Linked DNA regions of Nothobranchius furzeri. The protein of the gene in region 2 interacts with the protein of the main gene of each other region in a biochemical or structural test. Links are inferred from orthologs where the notes say so. Each region holds a gene or a part of one and is shown on either strand. Other genes may lie near its edges.

Region 1 (6,350 bases), about 22 Mb from region 2:
CAAACGTTAAACACCTCCACCCTCACCAGACTACACGGCCGAGCACCTGCACACACGTGTGCCACAGGTGAGCAGGTGCTCGGCCGCGACTTCATACAACAGGTCAGAAAGAAGCAGCGGCGTCCTGATGTCACCATGGAAACCAGAGGTACAACGAGGGATCGATTATAGGATAGCACACGACGTCATCGGGAAGCAATTCCTCCAGATTCTGATTTTATCACCAAATTAAAACACAAAGTTTTTTTTTCAGGGATTAAATCTACAGAAAATAAAAAATTAACTAAGAGGAAAACAGGCTGAACAGCTTCAGGTTGGAGAAATACAGATTCTTTTTGACTAGATTGATAAGCTAACTGCTAGTCCCAGCAGGTGCTCAGCGCTGTTGTCTTAAGGCTCAAACATATCAGTAATACGGCAACTACCCCCCCCCCCACACACACACACACACACACACAGGAAGTGCTACAGCTAGCTGCTCTTAAAGCAAAGATGCTAACAGTGGCCAACGCTGTAAAGCTGTTTAGATTAAACTTGTTTAAATGCAGCAGAAACACCTGGTTCTCTGCCTTGCCTAACTAGCCGTTAGCTCATCAATCCAGCCACAAATAATCTGTTTCTCCAAACTGATGCTGCTCCCAGACGTGAGATATTGGTTGTTTGTTTGTTTTTTTCAACAGAAAAATCGGAACCGTCCCTTTAAAGAGCAAGTCACTCCAAATCAACTTTTTTTGCTCATAAACTAAATAAACGAGTGTCTGGTCGTGCTGTAGACATGTGCAGTCGACACTTTAGTGCATCTTAGCTCAAGTTTAAATATTCTGCCTAAAACGGTCAGCGTTGCACCGTCATCAGGTAAAAACTCTGCACTGCATTGAATTTAAATCTGCCATCGCTATTGGCTAAGAGGTACTCTATGATGTTAGATGGTACATTATGATGTCACAATGTTGTGTGTGTATTTGTTAGCGGCTCCGCCCTCTCGCTATGCTATGCTACAGCCTTTGTTGCATTTTTCAAACAGGAAGTGGGAGTGGAGTAAGAATCTGGTAGGGGGTGACTTGCTCTTTAAGCTCAGAGAATAAAAGTAATTACGTCTCCTTAGAATAAAATTCTGAAAATGTTTTTGTTTAAGAACCAGTTCCAATAAAGTTTAAAGGGTTGGTGGGAACCGTATTTATGTCGATGAGGAAACACGAGTTCTGCTAAAGGTGGCCCGACTCACCATTGACTGCTAATACAGCTTCTGTTAGAATAAAAACAAAATCACGGATGGTGACGGTCTGAAGTTTTAACTGAACATGATCCAGATCAGAACCAGCGGTACCAACAGAACCAGGAAGTTTGAACTCTGGGATGTTGATGAAGAAGCAGGTGAATGCCAGTAAGTTTGTTCCGTCTTTGCTGCACATTTATCTCCGTTAATAATTAAAAACACAATAAACATTGATCGTTTAACACAACAGTTCTCCTTGTTTGGGTCGGGCCTGCGCTGCGGGTCATGAAACCTACAAACTGTAAAAAATAATAAATAAATAAATCTGATTAAGGAGCTTCAACTTTTCCTCAAATTTCAACGTTTTCTGTAAAATATTTATTAAAAACGTTAATTATGAAAATTACTATATTAATGTTTTTGTGTCTAAATCAGTAAATATTTGGGTCTGAGGGGGTTTTATTGTAGGTCGGTCATTTGTGAACCCCGCAGATTAAGCCAGGATTTTGCTGTAAAGCATCCAGATTTACTTTTATGTTTAGAAAACACAAAAACAGTTCTTAAAGAGCAAGTCACCCCCTACCAGAGCCTAACTCCACTCCCACTTCCTGTTTGAAAAATGCAACACATGCTGTTGCCTGGCAGACCGAGAGGGCGGAGCCGCTAACAAACACACACACACAGACTCACGACAGCATTGTGACATCATAATGTACTAGTTTACATCATAGCATACCTCTTAGCCAATAGCAGTGGCAGATTTAAATTCAAATACAGGGCAGAGTTTTTACCTGACAACGGCACAACACTGCCAGTTTTAGGCAGAATATTTAAATTTTAACTAAGATGCACTGAAGTGCCAAACTATTGACGACACGTGTCTGCAGCACGATTAGACACTCGTTTATTTAGTTTATCGGCAAAAAACAGTAGATTTGGGGGTGACTTGCTCTTTAAGGTTGAATAAAAAAGGCTGAAACCCCAGACTAAAGCCACCAGGAAGGAGATTATTTGTGTGGAATTGAGACGGAGAGCAGCGTCGTACCTTTTGGAGCCCGGGCCAGCGATCACAGGCTGTGACGTCTGAGCGCTAAGGGGCCGCTCGCATTTCCTGTGTTTATGTTTCCCCGGTTCTAACAGAACACACAGAACAGCAGCATCAGGGTCAGATCAGCTGATCCACACAGAAACAACAACAAACCCTGCAGGTATTTAAAACTGTCAAACAACAGGATCTCATTAAGCATGAACATTTAAAAGCAGTTTGAGAAATTAAAGTGATTTTTAACGTTTGTTGGGTCTGGGAACTCGTTTCAGTCGTGATTATAAATGTTTCAGTTCTTCTGACTTTAAACTCATAACCAAGTCACAATAATGAGTTTTAAATGCCTGACTGTTCTCTATAAGAGCAGCACTGATGCAGCTTGCAGAACCGATACCAGTTTAGGGTTTTTCTGCGCAGCTCTGACCTGATAAGACTGATTTATTAAGATTTGTGTGAAACAAAAATCTGCAAAAATGAAATATTGTTAAAAACTGAAAACCTGATAGATAATTCAAGAAGGGAGGACCATGGACCGTTCACAAAGTGAGCTCAGATTAATTAGCATGTAGCAGTGGTGCGTTCAAGGACCCAATTTAAGAAAGGAAGAAAATTAGATTTTTTGTGTCAGGTGGACTGTTGTGGTCACGTGTTTCCAGGTCTGCGCATCTGAACCATCTGAAAATATGATAATAACAATATTTATGTAAACACGCTGCTGCTCTTAGTTCCTCCAAAGCGTCTGAGCAGAAAACTTCTCCATGATTTATAGTTTTGGGTTAACTTCAATTTATTCCTCTGATGATAAATAATGTGCGGAATAATACTGGTCTCCAGGTGAAAGCCTGTCTGAGGTGCGAGGAGACGGACAGGTGAGTTAAACGTGTCAGGAACTGCTGTAGTTAGAGCCTGAGAGCCAGATTCATCACGGCTGTCCCCAGACCAGCAGCAGGCTCGGATGTGTGTCTGAGACTGGAGCTGAAGGCTAACACACCTGAGCAGGTGTGTTTATCCTCTTTGGTGTACCTCCACCACAGGGGAGGAGGTTTTTAACTCGAGCTCCAAACAAAGGCTCCACTCAGCGGCTCTGACTCTGCTCTCACATCCGGCTAAAGCCGGAGGCTTTATTCTGCCTCTGGGGTGGAAGCGTTGACGTTAAACGTGTTAATTACGTCTCTGTGGTTAAATTAGCTGCAAGCAGGCTGCGGTGACCGGGGAACAGCTTTAGCTTAGCGGCTAAATCCAACCGTCTCACCTCGGCGGTGCGAATCCCCACAACCCCTCTTCGTCCAGGCAGCTCTGGCTCCGTCAGACATGAAGTTACGGGTTCGATTCCGCGGTCAAGAGAGCGGACGGCAGCGCCGCATGGCCATACTTTCTCTGTAATCCATCAGCCAGACGGAGATACCCCCCACACGGCTCCAAATTAGACGGGTGCCGAGCCGCAGCGGTCCACAGGATTTACAGACACCATCTTCTGCACCGACGTAATTTCCCTTCATGACGGAACTGAAGGGCGGCGGGAGAGCGGACAGTCAAAGAGTGTACATGAGACAAGATGGATCACTGCAGTCTAAAAAACAACAGCAAACAATACAACTGTACTGAGTTGTTTGTTTTGTTGTGCACGTCTTACTTTTTAGATGATATAAATATATCAATATAACGGATCGCATTTTATTACACATTTAAAATAAGCTAATTGATACAAGAGGTATTTCACCACATAGATATCATATATTAATATATGATATGTATGTTTCACCACATGTAGGTTCATCAGAGACCTGGAGTTAAGTTTATACACAAATGTAAATAAAATTATTTAGAATCAATATATGCCCATTCAGACTGCAGGTGTAGACAGCTAATTAAAAATGTCACATTTAGATTTAGATGTCCACATAAATATTTTTACATAGGTTTTCAAAAACTACAAACTTGTTAAGAAGACTACAAACAGTATTTGATGATGTCATATTTTAACGACGGCCTGGCACTAATTATTTATCTAGGCTTATTTTTAAATTGACGTTAATTAAACCAAGTTTTGTGTTCAGTAGCAAAAAAATCTAAACTATTTATTTATTGGTTATAACGAGTAATGATATAATAAATTGTTCTTTTACGAACGTGATAAATTGCATCAGCATTTGAGAAAGGACCCGTTTTTCTTTCAGTCAGAGAAATCATACGAGATATTTTTAAATATATATGTATATAAATGAAAGTGGACATAATTTACACGTTTTTTGTTAAAGTTACAGTTTTTGTTTGATTTTGATCAGAGTAAAACGTTTTTTGTTTTTTCAAAGAAACGGTTTGGTAAATTGATCAGGCATTCGGCGGGGCTGCCTCTTTCATTCCCTTTCCAGCGAAGATGGCGGGTGATGAGTCTGGAACAACGCTGGGTCAGCCTCATCTGGCCAAACAAGACCTCAGCTCTCTGGTGAGTCTCGTTTCAGCGGTTTCTACACACCCCTGAGTTCACGTTTCAGGCTGGCAGCCCGTCGTTTAACCGAAAGCAATCCGTTAACGGGGGGAAATTGTGCGGTGAGCGGTGGCCGGGGCTGCGCTGCCTTCACCCGGCACATGACGGCAGGCCCGGCGGGGTGGAGAGTTCCTAAAGCACGAGCGGAGCCTCCAGGTTCTTTAAAGCGATTTAGGCGTTCACGTGTTTCTAAATTGTCGCTATTTTGTGTTTGCGACTGTTAAGCTCAAAAATTAGCTTCAATATTAACTGTCAGGAAGTAATTTTGGTGACGTATTTCTGGGTGATGTTATTGTGACACTTCAGTGATGAAGGCGGTGTCATAAACCTTTAATAACAGGGTTATTATGGTGGGGATGGGATTAAAGATCATATCTATAAGGTAGAAGTTAGGTAACGACTTCCTGTTCCGGTCCAGAAGAAGACAAATAAAAACGTTATTAATCTAAAACTGTTTAAACCTTTAGATGTTACAGGAATCCACCATGCATTTCCAGATGTGACTGCAATAAACTCATGATAACACATTCCTGTTATTTCTGCTGCATCTTGTTCCAAACTCTAGTTTCATCCATCAGTCTTTCAGGAATAATCTCTAACATCCTTAATTAATTATTAGTTTTTTCTTTGGAGGTTTTATTCTGCTGAGGAAGCAGGAAGCTGCTCGTCCTTTCTGATGGTCTAACGCGTGGTCCTGGTCAGACCTGGAGCTCATTTTCTCTGATTACGGACCTTGTCCCAGGCTGCTGTGATGGGTTAGGGTTAGGCTCGTCTTTGTTCCTGATAATCTGCAGGATTAACCCCAGAGACGCCGCTTGGCTCAGTTAATCTGTGTTATTTTGTACGTTTTGTCAGATCTGGGTGTTTTCTTTCGGCAGGACGTGTCCACCCTGACGCCTCTCTCTCCAGAGATCATCAGCAGACAGGCCACCATCAACATCGGTACGAGGCCGGTGTGCCTTCTGTTGTTTTTGTTTCTCTGCGGGTTTAAAGCGGTTCTGACTCGGTTCTGACTCTGTTCTGACTCTCAGGCACCATCGGTCATGTGGCCCATGGGAAGTCCACAGTAGTGAAGGCTATTTCTGGCGTTCATACCGTCAGGTTCAAGAACGAGCTGGAGAGGAACATCACCATCAAGCTAGGATATGCTAACGCTAAGGTGAGCGGTTCCTGTGCAGCGAGGATGGATCCGGGAGAATCCTCTGGGAAAAGCTCTCAGGGGGCGTTCTGGGTCTTTATTTCCTCATTAACGGCATTATTGAATAAAGGAGAGTTAAATCTGCTTTATTTTGAAATCCTGAGAGCTGATGATTCATCTTCCTGTAGACGGTTCTGTTGGAACCTTGTCATTCTGATTGTTTCCTGTGGCTGCAGATCTACAAGCTGGACGACCCCAGCTGCCCCCGGCCCGAGTGCTACAGGTCGTGTGGCAGCAGCACTCCTGACGAGTTCTCCACGGACCTCTCCGGAACCAAAGGGAACTTTAAACTGGTCCGGTAAGCGTGGCGCTGTCTCTCACTCAGTGGTTCCTAACCTGCGCTCCCAGAGATCCGAGTCGGTCGGGAGGAACAAGCAGAACAAAAACACCTCTGTCAACATAA
Region 2 (6,503 bases):
AATCCAACAGGATGAGATAAGGACCGTAAATGATAGGATTTCACCATCTTTTGGTTGTTTGTGTGAAGCATCCTGATCCTGCAGAGGCGTTTTTTTCTTCCCATCGGTTTCTGACTTAGATTTACTCGGCGGCTTCTTGAAATCAGAACTGAAACCAGGAGCTCTAGCTTTCTGACTGGTCCCAATGTGTTCTGCTGACTGGCCCTGGAAAATAAAACACTTATAAAAACCTGCTTTAAATCATGGCTTAACAGATGAGCTCCCTGTTTGGTCATGCCTTATTAACTGGTGGCTCACAAACAGAAGTCGCTGTTTGGTTGACGTCTCTGGGATGCTCATGTTTGCCCCCTCCCTGGATTCCTGCTTCGCAGAGTCTCTGTGAAACACTTTCGTCCTTTTTGTGTTTTGAGCTGCAGACCGAGCCTTCTTCTAAAAAGCGTTTGACAGGAGGGAGGACAGACAGGGACCTCTCCGTGGTGGAGTCTGGACTGTGGGTCAGTGTGGACACAGAGGAGCGCTCGTAGGGCCTTAAACAGGAGAAACAAACCAGCAGGGAGGAGTTTTTTAGCGCATAGTCAGATAAATGCAGGCCGGCTGCAGTTGGTCTTACTTTAAATGAGCATTGTGCTTCCAGGAACTTCTAGAGGCACGTTGATGATCTGGAGCCGTCTCCTTTACCTGGGAGCAAAATGTTTTAAACATAAAAATGTCATTATTGTACGATTATGTATCAGTGATTGGTTCCTAAACTATTTTACTTACAATGAGATTGTTAGCAAGTTCAAAGCCACAGGTATCTGGGATAGCTTCCAGCACACCTTCATTCACATCATCTGGAAAGAGACAGACACCAGACAGGTCAACTTCTGTCTGATAATAGAACTAAACCAGGAGAAGTGGACATAAATAGATTGTTTCTGATCTAAAGGAATATAAATAAAGTTATATTAAATGTAAAAAAAAAAAAAAGATTATTCTTGTTTTGATTAACTTGTATTAGAAAAGACATCTTACTGGATGTCTGGGGTGCATCCAGTTCACAAGTGTTGGGCACCAGCACTTCTGTTTTCCTGGGATTCCTTCCATCTCTAGCAGCTTTTTTGTTTTGCTCTTAAAAATAAAAACCAAACCGTTCACAACAGCGGAAATACACAGAGGAAGGTGAGGTGAGGTTTAAAATAAGCAGCAGGTGATAAAAGGTGTTTTTAAATAACTGACCGTAGAAGAGCAAGTTGTCGCGCTGCCGCGGAGACATCTCTGCATATCGGAAGTGTTTCACTTTATCACCATGTTTCCGTTTCTTCAGCTTGTTTGGGACAGGAAGTGAGCTTGGCAGGACTGGTGAGTCTGGGATGAATCCTTCCTCCTGCTCCGGGCTTCCTACCTCTGAAGTAGGGCTGCTTGATTAGGAAAATAATCATCATCACAATTATTTTGGTGGAATCTGAAATCGTTACCGACTGAGTTGGGAAACACTAAAGTGCAGCAGCTTACTGGTCATTCAAACTGATGAAGGGATAAATTATGAGACAAAAAACATTTCCTCTGAACTGCTTTAATGCTCATCACCACAGCCTTACGTCTGCTCTAGAATAAAACCCACGGACACACCAGCTAATTAAACTTAATCTACCTGAACAATCAGCCACATAAAAAAACAGGCAGCACTAGTATAAACAAGCCTGGAGGCCCAAACAAGGAGTATGTGAATATAAAATGGAACAGCCGAGCCTGGAATAGAACCGTGTAGAAAAACATAACCTCTCACCAGAGAGGCATACGCGAGGCTTATGAAGACTCATGTGCTGCAGGTGTGTTTTGCCCTCATTCTGCCATCTTATGTTGCTCTAACCTTTTAAGACCTTTGAGTAAAATGTGACAAAACAATTTTAATAGTGTTATGTTTTTATTACATTATTTTTGTAATTGGAGTTAACTAAAATACAAACTGAATTATTTATATACTTGTTTGCTCTCCACACCCTCTACAGAGCTAAACCAGGAACTGAAACGTCACTGCTGATGCAGAACAAGTCTCTGAGGCAAAGCTCCTCAGTGGAACACGGCACTTATTATAGTCAGCTTTCAAATTTAGAAGAGTTCATTTTTGTAAACCAGAAGTGAAACCTCTCCAGGAGAAACAGTGTCTATCTGAAAAGTTTTACGCAACACTGGCTGCAAAAAAAAAAAAAAGAAACTAAAATGTTAACATTTGTAATAATTTTGAAACAACAACAACCCAAAAATCTAATCAGACTTTTAAGAAGAACTTACTGAGCTGATTTTAACTGTTGCAGTTCATTCAACAGCTTTCTGTTTTCTTCCTCCAGTCTGTTTCTCTCATTTTCTGAAGGAAGACAAACCGTAAACACAATTCTCACAAAGCATGATTGTGCCCAAAAACATCTTAGCTTGTGCTGCCCTGGTCTGTGTGAAACACTCACATAAAAACAACTCTTTACTCTTTAACACCAAATAATCTAGAGCTCAGATTAATCACCGGAACAAACTCACTTAGTTTTGTGACAATATGAAGGTTCTGCTCCTGGTTGGATTTCAGCTTCTCCTCAAAAACAGCACACTGATCACGCTCTGCTGCTCGGAGTCTGGGGACAGTAAACGCCAAAACACTAATGATACACACACAGTTACTTATAATAAAGTACACAAAGATGCATGATTATAACTGGACGCTATAACAGAAGATTACAAATCAGCAGGTTCTGGGATTTTCTAGGGAATGTTCAAATATGTTTATGTTTATTTATTTAGCAGACGCTTTTATCCAAAGCGACTTACAATTTATAACCTACAGGGCATGTTGTGATCTGTGGGGGAAACTGGAGTACGCGGAGGAAACCCACGCATGCATGGGGAGAACACGCAACTCCACGCAGAAAGGCCGCAGCCGAGTTTCGAACCTGCGACCTTCGTGCTGCGAGGCAACAGTGCTAACCACTGCGCCGCCATGCAGCCCATAGTCCAATAGCTGATGGGAAGAAACTGATCTTGTGCCATGAGGTAATGGTTCTGGTGGACTGTTGTCTGTGATTACAGGGCAGCACATGAAAAGGTTATTTTCAGGGTATGAGGAGTCAAGGTGAATCTCTAGTGTGCCTCAAGTCCCTGGAGACCCACAGATCCTGGAGAGAGGCCAGATTGAAGCTGGTAATCTCTACAATACCTCTGCCACACATTTCTGGAAAATTCTTATTTTTCTAGTTTGCTTGGTTTGTAAATGATTCACTTGAGACAAATCCATACCAGTCCCAAGTACAATTAATGTTGTCAACATGATGATGATGACCCAAGTGTGTGTTTGAGTCATTTACCTTTCCTCCAGAAGACCGATCGTGTCCTGCAGAGTTTTATTTTGCTCCTTAAGCTGTTGGTTGCGATTATAGAACACCTCCAGCTTCTGTGCATCTCTGTATAATTAAAACAACTTAATGAAACAAAACAATAAAGTGAGGGAAAGCGTGCCCTACTAGTGAACAAAAGCTGATACTCACAAGCAGCGGTCCTTTTTTAACTTGCTTACTTTTGCCTCCAGTTCTACAAACAGTCACAATCACAAATAGTGTTGGCATGTGCGAAAACCACTAAAACACGCATCAACACGATTAGATTAGTTCAGTTACCTTGAACTGTGCTTTGATGACACTCTCCAAGCTGTTTCCATAGAACTTCAAACAGATCAGCATGTCTGACTGTCCCACTGCTGTCTCCCGGACTGCTCATCCTCCATAGATGATAACAGGCTAGACCGGAAATATCTTCATTAGAGGTGGAATTTACAACATTCAACAGCTGATAAGCTACAACACACAACATATAACTAGTTATTCACACTAAAACACAAACAACGTCCTGTGGCATCACACAGCTGTTACGTTGTCGCTAAAACTAAACAATGTTACGTAAACATACGTAACGCACAAAGAACACAAATACGTACACTAAATGCTTCAAAGAAAGTCTTAAAAGCAGACAAACTGATACATTTGAAAACCTACATAGTAATGCTGTTGTCGAAGATCAAAATTTGCGCGCCGAAATGCATGATGGGAATCCTTCTTCTTTTGACGTCATTCTCGTGTATGTGCGACTCTGTCGCCCCCTGCTGTTCAAGCCGAGTAAATGTACCCATTAAACGTGGAGGTACCAAGCCCCCACAATATTAATGTCGATGGGAGGTACTTATGCAATTTGCTGTAACATAAAACAGGTGGTTTTTTTATTCTTATTTCTGCTTTTATTTTTTAGAGTACAAAACATAACCCAAAATCACAAAATAACATTTACAAAACAGATTATTTAATTGAGGTGACTGAGGCAACATAGAGAAGCATGTCTGAAACAGTGATATTGGTGGGTTAGCTTTGAGGTAAGACAGCGAGCGATGTCAAAGGTTAAGAGACTTTAATTGTATTGACTTAGTGCCTTCATTAAGTAGTGCTATTCACAATTGAGTTTAATCATTCCAGTTCCTAATATATCAACATTTAGCAGTGATTTAATGATGTAGTGTATCAGATACACAAATACAAACTGACTAGTGACATCACGGTCTAAGACGCTAAGCATGTAGCACTGTATGGCACCATTTTGATGGTTTCTATCTTAAGACATTTCCTAATACATAAACAACACTGTTGTTGCTCATTCATTCTCATTAAAGCAGGTGCAAACAAATTTAAATATCGTTTTCTGCTTGTTACCATAACACTTCTGGCCAAAAATAAAACAATGGTTCCAACATTTATCTCAACCAAACTGAAGCTGCTTCGGACTATCAGGAGAAACAACTAAAAAACAAAAACACTCTTAATAATGCGACCAGAAATTAAACAGACTGATTTAAACTAAAACGCAGAATGGTTGTTGGTCGGAGACGCGAGCATAAAGCTCCGTCTTTTTCCTGAAATATAAAAAAGGTAAGACACAATGCAAACACTGCATCACTTAAAAAACAATAACAGTTATCTAAATGCAAAGCAAGGGAAAAGTTGAGTTTGACCTGCTCTTCGACATGCAGGTTTATTTTTGCATGAACAAACTTTTCTTCTTTCACATTGATGTCATGGTCACTGATGATTCAGCATTATAGATTATTACTCTTTTGTTCCTTTGGACGTGCGCCTTTTGTTGACTTTGCATCTGTCACAGCAGGTAGATCAAGCTAGCGTTAGTGCGAGTGTGTGTGTTTACATAAACACACATGCAGTCATCATCATTTACATATTTCCCCAGAATAACATAACAAATGACATTTCAAAACTATAAAACTAAAACAAAACTCCCTTTACATTTCAGAGTTTAAGCTATAAAACCTGCATGACAGTCCACAGAAGGTGTGCCTGGAGGCTTTGCAGCTGGGATGTGAGATACGCAGCAGGCTGTAGAGGTGCTGATGCTGGCAGGGAGGAGGAGGAGGAAGAGGAGGGGTGAAGATGGCGCCGAATGCAGCCGTACGTCGTTAAAGGAGGTTATGGGGATGGGCTGATTCTTCACCCTCTCCCTGTCCAAATGGGCCACATTCTATGTAGTTGAGTTTTAGATTCACATTATGCTGGAAGAAGACTAAACTGGTAGCATACGCTGCCTGGGCAGGTCGTCACCAAGAACACTGGAGCAGAGTGTAAATGCATATCTACCTTCAGACCTGCAGGGACAAAAGGGGATCAATGGAAGGATTCCATCTAAATGTTAAAAATCTAAATGATCCACACTCACACTTAGTGTCTTCACCACTGTGGGGGCACGTAGCTGTAGCTGGGGGTGCCGGGGGCCCGATATGTGGGCATCGTGACTTGATGCGGGGCCACAGGTGCCGGTGAGGGACTTGTCAACAAAGTTCCTGTGAGGCAGATTTGATAGTTTCGAGTTAAATTCTAACTTATTAGTTCTGAATATGCAGAAGTAAAAAGTCGCTGCAGCTCACCAGCGGACATAGCCATGGTTGTGCCGGCGACCATCCCCATGGCGACGCCGTTGGCGCGGCCAGGAGCGATGGACGGGGCGTACATGGCTGCAGGCATTCCATTGGGCTGGACCACCGTCGTGTGGTGGATGACATGAGGTGGTGCAGCGTACAGCGGCTGCGTGTAATAGGTGCCTTGTTGTTGGGAAGGTATTAACGCCTGAATCAGACAAACATGGTGACTCGTTTAGCTAAAATCGCTAACGACACATGTTGAAAAATAAAGGCATCATAGGTGATAGATGATTTTTTTTTGTTACATTGAGATCAGTGGTTCAGGAGATGTTTTGCAAACACACACAAACAGACAGAGGCAAAAATATTCTAGTCTACTTTTCACATGAATACCAAAGTCCGCACGAACTCACTGACCTGTGCATAAGGGCTCTGTTGGGGGTAGGTGCTCCTGACAGGGTAGACAGCAGCAGGATAGGGGCTTGGTGAGGAAGAGTATGGTGGCACAGTCCCAGTGTTGGGAGAGCAGGACATTTTAAAAGGAGTTCCAGGAGCGTAGCCTGAA

What was found.
Region 1: the proteins of rbbp8 (region 2) and klhl15 form a complex in vitro, tested with the Homo sapiens proteins (2 studies listed by BioGRID, with this or other methods). The link is inferred for Nothobranchius furzeri from reciprocal best matches to the Homo sapiens genes RBBP8 and KLHL15.

The regions. Positions count from the first base shown.
Region 1 is NC_091747.1:63,364,836-63,371,185, forward strand, and holds the start of klhl15 (kelch-like protein 15), read right to left. Parts: upstream 3,803-6,350; 5' UTR 3,575-3,802; coding exon 3,514-3,574; intron 2,350-3,513; coding exon 2,262-2,349; intron 1-2,261. Other genes in the region: eif2s3 (eukaryotic translation initiation factor 2 subunit 3), read left to right, coding at 4,639-4,707, 5,628-5,691, 5,781-5,908, 6,124-6,245. UniProt on the Homo sapiens protein: Substrate-specific adapter for CUL3 E3 ubiquitin-protein ligase complex.
Region 2 is NC_091747.1:41,225,804-41,232,306, forward strand, and holds the start of rbbp8 (DNA endonuclease RBBP8), read right to left. Parts: upstream 4,108-6,503; 5' UTR 4,017-4,107; exon of another isoform or gene 3,959-4,016; intron 3,762-3,958; 5' UTR 3,742-3,761; coding exon 3,642-3,741; intron 3,556-3,641; coding exon 3,513-3,555; intron 3,429-3,512; coding exon 3,333-3,428; intron 2,607-3,332; coding exon 2,515-2,606; intron 2,348-2,514; coding exon 2,275-2,347; intron 1,401-2,274; coding exon 1,219-1,400; intron 1,111-1,218; coding exon 1,015-1,110; intron 834-1,014; coding exon 763-833; intron 679-762; coding exon 611-678; intron 528-610; coding exon 278-527; intron 205-277; coding exon 45-204; intron 1-44. Other genes in the region: fam168b (myelin-associated neurite-outgrowth inhibitor), read right to left, coding at 5,748-5,860, 5,945-6,143, 6,356-6,498. UniProt on the Homo sapiens protein: Endonuclease that cooperates with the MRE11-RAD50-NBN (MRN) complex in DNA-end resection, the first step of double-strand break (DSB) repair through the homologous recombination (HR) pathway.